Linked DNA regions of Drosophila melanogaster. The gene in region 3 interacts genetically with the main gene of each other region. Each region holds a gene or a part of one and is shown on either strand. Other genes may lie near its edges.

Region 1 (4,594 bases), on a different chromosome or scaffold from region 3:
TCTGATAAAATAAGATTATTTTATTATAATTTAATATATTTTAATAAAACCGAATTCTTACGAATAATATTTCGAATACCCGCGCTTTTTAGCGCCTCCCTAACCTGTGGCTTTTCGTTGGAACCCCTGGTCTAAGCCGGTTAAAACTCACCGCTGAACCTGCTGGCCCACTGGCCAAACGAATGCTCGTCCTCCCGGCACCAAAAGCGGCTTCATGTAGCAGCACCCTGCGCAGAAAACAAACAAAAAACACTTTGTTTACAAAACATTGCAGCATTTGGATAACAGCACCGCAACGCCGTTCAAATGCGCACGCATGGCTTCGGACTGCCGCATATTCAGCTTCTTCCCCTGTTATCCCAACAACAACATTTGCGGTACACAAAAATCGATAGTGACGTCACTTGGGGTGGGGTGTATATATATGTGTGTGTGCGTGACAATTTCATTTTTATTCACTGACTTATTTATTTAATCGATTTGACATTATTTTGAGCATATAAGGATCGTGTGATTTACCAGAGACAACTAAAGCCTCGTTGGGGCCGCAGGTTACAAATCCCCAAGTCATTTCTGCAGCACTTATTTGTTATTTATATTAGAAAATGGGTTGCTGCTGATAACAGCTTTTGTTTTATCTGCGCGGTTAACACAGTTTTCCGATTATTAACTATATAGCGAATTATCCGATCCACAGGTAGCCTTGTTTATTCGTCTAATAATATATATAAAAGAATTTCCGAGGTACTCGGTGCTTAAGATTCAGAAATCCGACCGGTTCGGTTAGCAATTCGTAGCACAATAAAAAAATCTCTCAATCTGTAAAGTTCTCAATTTCTAACTCGCGAGTGCGCAGAACGACTTTAACCCCTATTGAGTGCCGGGGGTTGAGGCGACCACTTCAAAATATTCATCATGCTGCGACGACGTAGTGCTGCGGTAAGTGTCTTTATTGGTTTAAAAATCTAGGTTACATCTCAATTTTTTTTATTCTAATTTACTTAATGACTCATATCATTCAGAAAGATCGAAATTCTTAAAAATACACAATAAATGTAATAAGAAAATCGTCGACACTCATTAAATTTGGAAACCAGATGTATTGCCTAGTTTTTAGTCTTTGAAAACAGAAACTAGGATTTCAAATATTTTTTCCACATTCACACAAACAGTAGATATCGTCTAGGAATTTGAACAATTTTCGGATCTTAACGATACACTCAACATAAAAATTTTTAAGAATAAAACTATTTTACTGAATCAATAAGTATTTTATCGATAAATGTTAATTTGGCAGCTCAAATGGCTATATTAAGTGTCACATTGGTAGGGATTGTCATAAATCAAACCTTTTGCTTTGGTAAATCAAACTAATGAAATTATAAAGAACTTTTTATCTTATACTATAATCGAACTCTACTGCAAGGACATACATATATAATTAAAAGATCTTTGCTGGACAAAGTCTCGCATTTTGGCTTAAGTCTAATCAAAGGTCGTGAAAACAGTGGCTTGGAAAGAACCTTCCGACCTCAATGTCCCGAAGAGCTGCTGTCCGTAAAGTAGGGATGCTGCATCGCCGCCTCCGCGCTAATTCGCTGATTTGGCCGGCAGATGAGCAGCTTTTGCAGCAGGTCGCGTCCCTTGGAGTTTAGCCTAGGTACCAGCTGACTCCACGAGGTGATGGCCGGAAAAGCTATAATATAAATAGGCTTTTAATATTGGTATCGATAAATAAAATCCGTCTAGAATCCCTACATGGAAGCGCCACGTAGTCGGAGAGGTGCGAAACTCCTGGCCAGGAGTCCTCGTTGGGGGTGCCCAGCACACGGAAGATCTTCATCAGCTGATCGAGCACGTCAGAGCCAGGAAACAGCGGTCGTCCAGCGTCCGCCAGTTCGGCCAAAATGCATCCAGCGGACCACATGTCTATGCTGGTCGTATAGAGCTTGGCTCCAAATAGGACATCGGGTGGTCGGTACCACAGGGTCACCACTTCTGCGGAGTAGCACTTCACGGGAATGCCAAAGGCTCTAGCGAGACCAAAGTCAGCTAGCTTTAGCTCGCCGTTTTTGTTGATCAGCAGGTTCTGTGGTTTCAGATCGCGATGCAGGACATTATGGCTAAAATAGGATAATGTAGCGTAAGTTAAGTCTCAATGCTATAAAATGGATATCATTCGGAAATGTGCCACAGATGAAGTTACTCCAAATAACACTTGATTCTAACTATAATCGACACAAGATAAGACCTAATCCAGTGCTGATACATATATAGGTATACCTGTGGCAGAATGCCAGTCCGCGGAGCAGTTGGAGCATAAAGCTCCTGCAGACGGCCATGTCGATCTCCCCGTTGAGGCTGTCAAAGTACTTCTTGAGGTCCTGGTCGCAGTGCTCGAAGACCAGGGTGAGTTTCTTGTCCGAGTGCAGGACGTCTATGAGGCGCACAATGTTCTTGTGCTTCAGCTCCTACGGATGGTAATGTGCCGATTTAGTTTATAAACTGGAATCACTTCCTGCTCGTCCGACTGACCTTCAGCAGGCAGATCTCCCGGAGGGCAGAACTGGGCACACCCTCGTCGTCCTCGTCCAGTCGCACCCGTTTCAGGGCCACTATTTCCATGGTGTCGCGGTTGCGACCCTTGAACACCGTGCCGTAGGTGCCCTCCCCGATCTTCTCCATTTTATCGTACTTCTGCATTTTGCTGTGTTTTGGTGTGTATTATTTTGCGTTCAGATGGAAAACTCCGGGGATTATTGTTTTTGCAGTTTGTTTTTGCTGGCCAGGGATTCGTGCGCCTAACAGCACACTGTTATTCGCTTACAGCACGCGGTGACTAACCAACATCGCAGCTGACAGTCTGCTGTCACCAAAAATACTCAAAATTAACAGATATCATTTTAAAAATGTTGATAAAACTTTTGTTATAATTTTATTGTTTTATTTGGACTCGATATTAGCTAAACATACGAATATAGACCGACAATGATAAACACCGATCTTATGGTACCGCAATGCAACAATATAGCAGAAATATAAGTATACAAGTTTCCTAATTTCTTTTGCCCTTTGCAGAATACCAAGCCTGGCTTACTATGTCTGCCCGATGATGTTCTAATGATAATTCTAAGTTATCTCGACTTGAAGACCCAACTAAAACTGAAAGACTTTCATTTCCGGTTTAAGAAATTAATGCCGTATGTGTGGCGTGCTTATAACAAATGTGCATATATATCCTTGATTGAAATGCAGCTGAGCGACAAGGATTTGCTATTCTTCCTGGAAAGTACTCAACAAATCCTCAGCACTCTGCGGCTCAAAATGAATAATAGATCTAACTTCGAAACACTTACCAGCTGTAGTTTTCCAAAACTTAAAGATTTTCGATTTTCCACGCATTCGTTTAACTTAAACGATGCGGACGTGCCAAGAATGTTGAAAACTTTTCCAAATCTGACAACTTTTAGCCCCCATGGAAAGTTTACTGGCAAACACTTTGATGAATTCGAGTTTCTCGAGAACCTCACGGTCTCCTACTGCAGCAAATTCAATGTCACCAACTTGATACAGATCCTGAAAACCAGAAAAATAAAATCCCTGAAGCTGGGTATCTTCGATATTGACCAGATTTCGAACACAGAACTGCCCTGGAAAGGGATTAGAAACCTAGAGCAGCTGCAGTGCTTCCAGGAGGAAATGATGGTGTGGTTCCTATCGAAACTGGAACGTCTAACTCACTTGAAGAAGCTATTTCTTTGTGGTCACGTTAGATACGGATTTCTGAGAGAGATTCTCATAGCTGCGAAGAGAAGCACTATAAATATGATCGAGATAAGCCAAAATACATCCATATTTTGTGAAACTTACGGTTTAAATGTGGCTATTAAGACCCTAAAGGTGGCTAATTTTGGTATGCATGCGTATCAGCATCTTCACATTAATGTCAATGAATTTTATATACAAAATTCGGTTTGTGTGGACGAAATTAAGTTTCATACCTTAATACAAAACCTAAACACACACGAGGTCCTGGGTATATACCATTGCACCTTCGGATTTAAGGAGTTCACATTCGATGCGAAGAAACTGGGAGAAAACCGTACCACAGCACTTAATATTTATGTGGAACTAAACACGTATCTCATGTCTAATGAGGTCTAAGTATTTCACAACTTATATTAGCTTTCGTTTCTAATATTTTTCATTACAGGATCCCATCCCCATGACCTGGAAAGTGCAAGGGGAACATAGGCTTTTCAAGTTGCACATGAAGCATCCAAAAATCACTTTTAACTCGGATCCAGTTTCAATTTACTTTGATTGAGTTTGATTGCCAAGGAACGAAGCTGTAGACTGATGACTAGTTTGATATGCCAGCTGAGATAGATAACTTTAAATGGCCGAGCCAAATAATTAGTTGTACGTTTTCCCTGGTTATGGAAAAGATTCAACCTTACCGGCGGATTTCAATGAGAAGTTTCCAGGAGTTCTTCAATGCAAGCTCCTCTAGAAGCTGCCAAGGATTGACAGTACTATTAGTTACAAAATAAAGGCTTAGTTTTATTGAGACTGTGTGTCAACTTAATTCAGG
Region 2 (4,725 bases), 1.3 Mb from region 3:
GCTTTTATTCGCGTCGCTGCGACCCACACTCACTTTCGATCGAATTTAGTTGCTAAAATTAAGCCAAAGCACTAAAAGACACTCGCATACACACGCGCACGGACGTCACCAGGGCAAAAACAAATACACAGTCAAACAGCTGGCAGCGGTAGCAGCAACAACAACAACTAGAGTGCGACTCATCCAATAAGAAAATATTTTATTTGATTTATGCAAACGAGCCAATTTTATTATTCTTTTTAATCACACGTCACACTGCATTCGTTGCTGTTAAAAATAATCACAATTTTTGCATTTCGATTGCTTTTCTTTGCAATTTTTATTGCATTTTCCCGCTAATACTGGGCATATCCTTTTTCCAACTTTCGCTTAATTTCGCGTTTGTGTTTCCTTCCGTTCCGTTCCGAAACTCGAAACATGCGTTCTTTTATTTTTCGGAAATTTTCGTCCCGATTAGTTTATTGTATAATTAGCATTGCGCACACTGGATTTATACATTTTAAAAACATTCTGAAAATTTCGACCGTATCTGCAACGGCTACGGCAATAAACTAGAGTTGCCAGGGTCGGCAAAGTGATCCTATCGATTGTTGCCAATTGATTCGTCGCGGTATCGATACAACTAATTTGTGTAGTCTTTTTTTCATATTATTACGGTTTATATAGTAGCTAACACAATATTAAATCTTATTTCAGTATAACACGAAATTGATATTTTATCTTGGAACTCGAGTTTCATAGCATCTTACTTTTGCCTATGAACGTAGTTCACATTTCGTGTAAGGTGGCAGCTCTGATTTAAGCGCTTTAAATTCAAGTTAAAGAAAATACAAAAAAAAATGGGAAAATATTTATTAAACTGAGCCAGAAAATAAGTTGCCTTTGTTAGGCCTTCTTAGTAACGTTCCATATAAATAATACAACCATTAATAAAAGAGCACGTTTTAATTATAAATTGTAGCATTAAATGATTGAATGATCCTGTATGTTAGAGACCCGCAGGTCTGGTGTAAACTTTTGCACAATATTTGTTCCTTTTCTAATAGATATCAATAATTTAATTAACTTAAACGACGGTCTATGGGTTGCAGATCAAGTATCGAATGCTGTGTTCGCTATAGCTAGAATCCTTTGTACGATAAGCAGTTCTAGGAAATGGGGAAACTTTGGCGCTGCAGCCGCTCGAGCCGGAAGCATTGTCTTCTTAATTTGTGTATGTACAGTACATAGGGCTATGCAATCATCTATCAAATTCTACGAATTCAGTTTCTTTTCCTCGGATAGCTTTCCCTCGACTGGCGGCTTTTTGGCCGTAGCCAGTGGCGCCTTCTTGCCGTACAGCATGTCCACAAAGAGTGCGGCGAACACCAGGACAGCTCCAAGCCACTGGCGGGCAATCAGGACGTTTCCGAACAGCAGAACGGAGCACAGGACGGTAAAGAACTTTCGCGTCGTCGTAACCACGGAGCAGGCCAGAGGTCCAAAGCTGGCCACCATCAGAAAGATGAAGAACTGACCGAGCACGCCGCACACAGCTATCAGCGATAAATGGGTCCACGCCTCGGGATGTCGGATGGTGAAGTACATGAATTCCTTGGCCTCACCTGAAGATTTTTTTTATAGTTTTTCAGAACATTTATAAAAACGTATGGGGCTTACATAAAAAGGTCTTAGCCAATATTTTTAGCTCAAATAAAGTGTTTTTAACACTCACCTGTAAATACCATGGCAACGCCAAGCATCAGGGTGCTCCAGAAGTTCATGGCCCTCATCATCTGCTGACCGGAAGGCGCGCTGGCCGCTCGGATGCGTTCCTGAACGGCTCCAGTCAATCCGTCCATTGACAAACTGAGGAAGAGCAGCACCTCGCCGAGAAGCGTGGTCTCAGCCGGCAAATTGGACACCTTGCCCTCCTTGTACATAAAGAGAATAACTCCCAGGACAATGGTCAATACGCAAGCATAGCGCGTCCAGCTGTAGGATTTGCGACCAATCAGCACGCCCAGGATCATGACGGGGATGGGCTTGGCGGATTTACCCACCACAGCAGTGGGATAGGGAACCCAGCGCATGGCCATATTGGTGGAGACCATGGCCAGAAGATAGGTCAGCGAACAGGCCACGTAGGAGCCCGCGTTGGTGGTGTCCTCCTTTTGCGGCCTAATGGTCAGCAGCACTGGAAGACCACAGATCAGAATTGATTCGTTACAAGTCCACGTAATCCTTACCCTTGGCAAACACATAGTTGCAGAGGCACTGCACCCAAACAAGGGCCAAGGCGTAAGTGAAGCGCTCTCCCACGGATCCATCTGTCTGTACCTCCTCGCCGTAGCGGCCCCGCGTCAACTTCTCCTGGACAATTCCGTACAAGAAGTAGCATACGAAGATACCGACGGCGTAGATCACAAAACGGCTGCGTTCCGGCAGATTCATGGCGGGCAGATGACGGTTTTTAAAGCGTGTGACTTGCGAATTGGTTAAGTCGGACTTAATGCACGATCCTAAACAGTTGGCATTCTCTGGAGTCGCGGCTGCAGTGCCGTGATTTGGCGTTGACTATCAAATAATCCAATCAAATACGTGGTCGGTGCTGCCGCTTTAGCTGGCTACTAGCCAGATTAGATTAAGTGATTGCAAGCACCTGTATTTTTGGCCATTTTTTAGGTGCACTGTTATAGCTATGTTCTTCTTTTGAATCATCAATTTCATCATCTTATTTAATAAGTTTAAATCATAACTCTTTATAAATGAAAAATAGGGCATACATAAAACACTATAAATGTAATAATTGATAAATCAACTAACTAGCTATTTATTGAAAGCAAGAGTTGGCAACACTGCATTTGCTAAAGAGCGGGGGCGTTTTACAGTGTGACCGTTAGTTGGAAGTGAATATATTTACTTATCGGATATCTCGAATTGAACTTTTCGGCGCGAAAATTAGCTGAATTTTTCTTTGCAATGGTAAAATAACTTTCACCCCCTTTTTTATATTATTTGTTGAGTGTAAAATACCCGCTCTCCCCAATTTGTTTTCTAAAAACCCTACGCATGATTCTTTCAAAGAAATTCTTTGTATCAGAAATTGAATTTCGTTTATTTGGTTTTAAAATATATTTGCAAAATACAATAAACTATAGTCCCGCATACACAGGCGTATATGCGGGCTTCTCTTTGTTACACTGGTAATGCACTTGAAGTTCTTGGTTTTAGTGAATGCAGCCTGCACCCATTGAAAATACGCCCACGCGTAATACTGTTCTAAGAGCCTAGACAACAACAAACAAGCGATTATCCTCTTAAATAGCAGTTAACAGTTAAGCGGTAATTTGTAAATGATAAAAGGGTGTGGCGACTAGACCTTAAAAGCTATAATATGAGAGAAAAACAAAAAACAATTAAAACGAAAGGGGTAAAAACCGAAAGGAAACCGAGCGAAGCGTCTACAGAGGCACCTGCATGGGTGGCAGCCAGGTGTAGAAAAGAATGTATGCAGCGCTAGAAACCACGTTAGAGGAGTCCAACGCCGAGACGACCTGATCGTCGAACTTGAACCATTTTCCGTAGTTGGCGCTCTTGCAAAATGCCGTGTAGTGCCCGCCTTCCATGGTGCCGTAGTGATTGGATACGGCGTACAGCTGGTAGGTCTTAGGTGTTACCGCCCGCGATTCCGCCCGTGCTATGTAGGGATTCATGTCCAAGTTCTCGAGCGGGAAGCGCAAGTAGTTCTGCTTCTTCATGTACGAGCCAGAGTTACTGGGATCCGCATAGAAGCTATGCGGGATTTAAGAAATTATAAACAAGCATAGCATAGTGTTAGCATCACTTACCGCTTAAGATGCACCACCAGCACAGGTGGCAGCTTCGATATATCCAGCTTCTTGATGGCATCTCTTTTCGTTTTACAACTAGGACAATTCCAGCCATGGATCCTTTCTCCACTGAAGTACATGTCCATGCACTGGTTCAGCTGACATACATTCGAGTTTGGCGGCAGCTCCAGGCTGAGATTAGAAAAACTCTCGTACGTGGCGGACTCCTTGTGGCAGGCCACACATTTCACAGTGCTCTTCATTTGGCCATAGAATAAATGCAGAATCATGCTCTCCTTCGCCTTGGTAAATTCCAGCCAAGCCTTTTCCGACGCACTGATCATCTCCCGCTGACGGGGCACATGTAGGGTCTGGAGATCCGAGTGCAGCCAGTCCATCAGGATGGTGAGGAATTCGTGTGAGTCCTGCTGGTCAACGCCGCGGAAGATCTTCTGGTACTGGCCCACAACGTACTGCAATGAAGTATGTTTAGTTTAGAAAGAAATTTGGGTGTTTTTTTTTTTTCAGTTGCATACCCTCAAATCTCGGCTGGCCACACACTTGTACTGTCCATTCCAGAGCTCCTTGATGAGTGCAGCCACCTCTTCGATCACCTGGCCATTAGTCTTGTTGCTTCTGCTGATGTAATTCTTGTATTTGTCCGAAATGCAGTACTCGGTCAACTGAGGCGTGTTGCTCAGGCACTGCAGTATGCTGTTCATATAGCAGGTGTTGCCCAGATTCTTCAGTCCAGTCAGTCCACGACCCTGAAATGTTATCCAAGGATATAGTTAACTATTCGGAGATAGAGGAAAATAAAATCTATAGCTATTACTCGTCTCAGCGGAAAGATGGAGCTATAAATGCTGTAGGTGGGCGGAGCTGTTGGCAGCTGGAGCCTCACGCCCGCTAC
Region 3 (5,163 bases):
GGGATTAACGCCTGCGGAATCGGGCGGGGATGCTCTGTCCAGTTCGATGGAGTGCGCGCGCATCCTGAGAGACATCCGTGACAATCAGCAGAAGCTGCAACGCCAGCTCCTTGAGCAGCAGCGGCAGAGCATGAGGGCCCTGCATAATATCAGTCAGGAGCTGGCTCACATTTACATGGGCGGCAGAAAGAGATTAAGGTTGGTAAACCAAGTAGGACATTGTAAATTTTATTATAATTCACAATTTCATCTTAACAGACGCACAATAAACGGCTTTAACAAAAAGTGCCATAGAATGAGTACCAGTGTGGGCGGAACGTCCGGAGTCCGTCCGAATATAGCGGGCAATCCCCGGAGGCAGCTAAACAAGCATCACTTTGGTCTTCACGAAGTAGACGAGCAGTTGGAGCAGTGGTTGACCCAGCAGGAAATAGACGAGTTCTCAAAGACGCTCATCCTGAATGAAGGTTTTACATTTGACGACTTTATCTATAACATGGAAAAGCTGGACCTCATGAGGCTGGGTCTGCGGTGCGTTAAAGCTTATAAGAAAAGTACACTTAATCCATGCTCAACTAACTTTTGGTATTTTGCAGCGTTGGCATCGAAGTGCGTTTGTGGAAACTCATTATACAAGAACGTGTGTGCACCTCGTCCGATTGTGTGGACAGTCCACCAAGCACTTACCACAAACCCATTGGAGGCAATAGCTCTTTTGCGCTTATTGACAACAACAATACGCTACCATCACCCACAACCACAACTCCCGGAACGCCGGGCATCAAAACGAAAATCAAGAAAAGCGAAAGCGAGTACGATTCGTGCAGCGAGTGACTGGAGTTGAAAGCTTTCTGAGTTGTGCCTTTACAGATACTACTGATTAATTGTTAATGTTCTCCATGTGCTACTAACCGCTGCGAGGCTCAGCTCAATGAGTCTCCAGCAGCCCTGGGTTAAGTTCTCCCATGCTGACTCATGTCTTTTCAACTTTGAGTTCGAAAAGGCGTTGTCTGTGTGTCCAGTTTTAACGATTGCATGTTAACTTATAAAAATGGAATTTACATAAGTGCCTTTAATTTAAAAAAAAAAGAAAACAAAAACTGAAATAGATAATATATTGTGAAGTGCTTTGCAAAAAAGGGGTATTTCTTGTTAACTGGAAAGGATTTATAGCTTCTGAAGAAGACTATTATACATATAAGAATGAATAAACTCAAATTTGTTGTGGTTCTCCAAACTTTAAAGGCGAAAGATAACCGAAAGTTGATATCCGAACTTTTGTAGGTTCGTCATTAGGGTTTTTCCACGCTAAAAGCTGCTTTTGTTAGATATACTATGTTTTGAAAAGGCTCATTTTAATTTATAACTTTTCTAGTTCGTTTGCATTTATTTTTTTTGTTGAGTTTTTTTTTGTCCTTAACTGACATTGCAGGAAATTTAATAACTGAGTTTACATTGCTTTTTGTTATGTAAGAAAGTTGCATAATTTTTTCATTATTGTTGAAGTTTTTGATGTTATTCGAAAGCGTTTCGTTCTGTTGCTGCAGTTGTTCTTGCTGTTGTTTTTGTTGCTGTTGTTGTTGCTGTTGTAAGTAGTTAGATGTTCTTGTTGTTGTTGTTGCTGTTCTGGTTGTTGCGCCAAAGAATTTATGCCTTGGACTCGGCCTCGCTGGCGGTGGCCTGCGATTGGGCATCGCTCGATTTGCCATCGTCGACCTTGCCAAAGACGCAGCAAGGACACTTCTCCTTGAGGGCCAGGCGATATTTCGGATGGCTATACGGAATGAAAATAAAAAATTGGTTAAATATTAAGGTATATACGTTTCATAGCCCATAACCAACCTGATGCCGTATACAATTGGATTGTAGCAGGCGGCCGATTTGGCGAAGCAAGCTCCCCAAATGGTATTCAGTGGTGTAAGGCCCTCGAACTTGAACAGTCCCATGCAGTTGATGACCAGGTATGGTGTCCACGCCATGAACCACAGCGTGATGGTGACCAGAGCCACCTTGGCCAGCTTGCCCTCGGCGCTCTTCTCGGCATCCTCAGAGGAGCGGAGGGACTTGACATTCATCTTCTTGGCCTGCTCGCGCATGGCCTTCTCGTGGGCGGAGACAGCCTGTGGGAGGATATATCGGGTTAAGCGACTGGGATATGCGAGTCTCGTCGCCACTTACAGCAATGATGAACCAGTAAGAGTAGCAGATCAGGAACAGCGGAATATAGTACACGAAGATGGAGTAGAAGATCAGGTATGAGCGTGGGTTCCAGTCGCGTTCCAAGTAGTCAATACCGCACGAGGTCAGGTTACCCTCCGGCACATACCTTTTAGATTAAGAATATATATTTATAGGATAATGTTAGGTGGTAATAATATTAATACAATTGTAATTTGTAAACCTTTTGTTTGTAATTTAAGTTTTTAAACATTTGTATATAGTAGCTTTGATCATTTTTTAAAAAATGGGTTCCCAGAAGGTTTACCATTTCAAGGACTCACCTGCTCCAGCCGAAGGCGGGCGCCAGGCACCAAATGCTCGACATGAACCAGATGTAGGCAATCTTGCCCAGGGCCAGCGGAATGGTCATCGGCCGGCCGGCCATGCCCTTGACGATCACTTGGTAGCGATCCAGGGAGATCATGCACATGGACCAGATGGAGCTGCAGCCAAAGGCCGAGCCCAGTCCGGCGTATATGTCGCACATCATGGGTCCGAGCACCCAGGTCTCGAAATACAGATTTATGCCCATCATGGGCGTGTTTGTGATCATGATGCCAAAGTCGGAGATGGCCAGGTTGATGACCAGCAGGTTAGCGGGCGTGCGCAGTGATTTGGTGGTGGCGAATATGTAGATCACCACGCCATTTCCGCACCAGGAAATCATGCCGATCATGATCATGTAGGCGGTCAGGATCTTGGCCCAAATGGGGTCCATGGCGGGGAACTGGTTCCAGTACGGGCTGATCAGGTGGGCCATGTCGGGCGTGACCTTGTCCACCACCGATCCATTGGACAGGGGGGCAAAGTGTGGCCCCAGTTGCGCGGCTGCTACTGCAAAGCTGCAACACCGAAGCAAATGTTAAATTGCTAACCAGAACATCCAGTGGATCCACCGATCGTACCTCTCCATTGTGTTTTGGTTACTGGCTGCGTCACTATATCCCGCCTATATCACACTGTCTACATAAAAAGCTGCAAATTCACTAACAATATTTCTAACACTTTTTACATAAAGGGTTCCTGGATTCTGAATATTTCACTGGGGCGGACTAGTCGCGGCGATTGGTCGTTGGAAACCTGCAATGTCTGCATTCTGCCGCATGGCTTTTATAGTTTTCGCGGTGCTCGTGTAACCCCTGCTCTTGAAATTCAATTAGGCCAGCCTAAAAATATGTCTGCAATGTGCAGAGGAAAGTGTCGACAGCTTTTGGCTTATAATCATAATATCCATAACGAAAGCAAGCGCACATCGCAATGGGCCAATGTCAATAGTTAAAGGCATTTCAAGGGTTTCCACTGGGGGTTCTGGCCGAGTATTATTCTTGAGTCTCCAGATTGTGCAGAAAGCAATGGCGAAAGTCAGCGATTTAATGTGTCAATGCCTAGACAAATTTGAAGAATATTATGAAAACATATCGTAGCAGAAGAAATATCAGTATCGTTCGCCTGCGACACCAGTGCGTATGCGCAATCAAGTATACGCAGTGTGTGCGCCGATGAACGCACATCTTGAGGGCTCTGCTAATCTTGGATTATCTTAAAAAGAATGCCAGCTTTTGGAAGTAGTAAAATAATCTATTTAAATTAAGAATATGAACACCCCAGACGCTAAGCCGCTTATGGATTTTTTGTGCTGATTGATCTTTTCGCACCTCCATTGAATTTTCCGAACATGTTTTGTTTCTTTTCTTTTTGGTGTGGGCAGCTTGGATTTTATTTTGTCAGTCCAGCTTTGGCATAAAAGCCTTTTGTTCGCCTTTGTGCGATGGCTCAACACATCAGCTTGAATTGGGTCAAGTTTTAGGCTAATCCAAATGGCCAAATGGGATGCCACGCTTTGCGCCCAACCCAAATATGGAACTAAACCGAAATAACTGTCAGCTGGTGTGACAGTCGACACATGTCGGCAGATCTTTCGGTTTAAATCAATTACACACCGCAAAACAATACAAAAAAAGCGCAGGTAATAAATATTCATATAAAGTTAGCCAGCGCAAAAAACTAACAAAAATACCGAGGCGCAAAACCGGAAGCTGCGCTCATATCGCCATTATCATTACCATCAATTTGATCATCATGATCATTATATTGGCGTCATCGTTAGCCGCACTTGCGGTTCCCATACTTACGTATTTACCTACAGTTCTGTGTATGCATATATACAAATAATCTGGGTATAAACCATGAATCGCATTTCAATTTATTCGGCATTTTCGGGTTTCGCTAAACAACAAAAGTCCCCCGCCCACCTGCTAGATGGCCCAAACATAAAAGCCAAGTAACGAAATGGGTATAGCAACAACAGAGACATATGGACAAGCCAACTTGCAACAAACATTGCGATGTGAAGTGGAAGAAGGCCGCCGAAGGCGGGGAAGAAGACGATCATTTAGCATTAGCAAATAAGCGAGATAAACGCTGCGATCCGTAGACGTTGTTATTGTTGGGGAATTTGTTGTTTTCCTGCTCAATGAGGCGGGCAAATTTGAAACTAGAGAGGCAGAACCAAACTTACCCGGCACTTTGAATGCCCTTCTCTGTAATATTTAATACGACAATAATACATTTATGTTGATCGTGTATTGATAACGATAAAGATTTGAGTTCGGGGTGTATGTACCTGAAAGTATGCTCTGTATATTTCACGAATTTAATAAGTAAGTAAAGTATAAGTAAGTATAATATAATATGCTTATAATATAATATTATTATTATATTCAAATAATAGCGTTTTATTATAATACCTGGTATTTACGTGACATGTCCAAACTTCTCAAACGAACCGTGACACCCTGGCTCCAGGGCACAGTGTATAATTAACAAACACCTATGATTTGATTTTTGTATTTTTATGTTCGACAATGGATTCGCGCTCGCCAGTGTGAGTGACGCGTGTGTGAGTGTGCGTGTGAGTGGGTAAACGGCGGCAAGTGTTCTGCC

What was found.
Region 1: of ninaE (region 3) and Cdk5, changing one suppresses a phenotype caused by changing the other (phenotypic suppression), as found in Drosophila melanogaster (2 studies listed by BioGRID).
Region 2: of ninaE (region 3) and meigo, changing one enhances a phenotype caused by changing the other (phenotypic enhancement), as found in Drosophila melanogaster (one study listed by BioGRID).

What each region holds. Positions count from the first base shown.
Region 1 is NT_033778.4:15,568,600-15,573,193, forward strand, and holds Cdk5 (Cyclin-dependent kinase 5), read right to left. Parts: upstream 2,819-4,594; 5' UTR 2,704-2,818; coding exon 2,536-2,703; intron 2,472-2,535; coding exon 2,284-2,471; intron 2,124-2,283; coding exon 1,759-2,123; intron 1,697-1,758; coding exon 1,533-1,696; 3' UTR 940-1,532; downstream 1-939. Other genes in the region: Flo1 (flotillin 1), read right to left, coding at 152-227, 520-571; CG30466 (uncharacterized protein), read left to right, coding at 916-939, 3,079-4,158, 4,214-4,327; CG8204 (uncharacterized protein), read right to left, coding at 4,590-4,594. UniProt on the Drosophila melanogaster protein: Probably involved in the control of the cell cycle. Interacts with D1 and D3-type G1 cyclins. Possible regulator of neuronal differentiation and/or development.
Region 2 is NT_033777.3:21,136,569-21,141,293, reverse strand, and holds meigo (medial glomeruli), read right to left. Parts: upstream 3,025-4,725; 5' UTR 2,806-3,024; intron 2,740-2,805; 5' UTR 2,434-2,739; coding exon 2,229-2,433; intron 2,177-2,228; coding exon 1,715-2,176; intron 1,605-1,714; coding exon 1,255-1,604; 3' UTR 929-1,254; downstream 1-928. Other genes in the region: Usp8 (ubiquitin specific protease 8), read right to left, coding at 3,444-3,774, 3,831-4,285, 4,349-4,579. UniProt on the Drosophila melanogaster protein: Probable sugar transporter.
Region 3 is NT_033777.3:19,884,898-19,890,060, forward strand, and holds ninaE (neither inactivation nor afterpotential E), read right to left. Parts: upstream 3,310-5,163; 5' UTR 3,134-3,309; coding exon 3,126-3,133; intron 3,063-3,125; coding exon 2,502-3,062; intron 2,327-2,501; coding exon 2,179-2,326; intron 2,121-2,178; coding exon 1,843-2,120; intron 1,775-1,842; coding exon 1,648-1,774; 3' UTR 1,358-1,647; downstream 1-1,357. Other genes in the region: Ask1 (apoptotic signal-regulating kinase 1), read left to right, coding at 1-198, 259-531, 597-834. UniProt on the Drosophila melanogaster protein: Visual pigments are the light-absorbing molecules that mediate vision. They consist of an apoprotein, opsin, covalently linked to cis-retinal.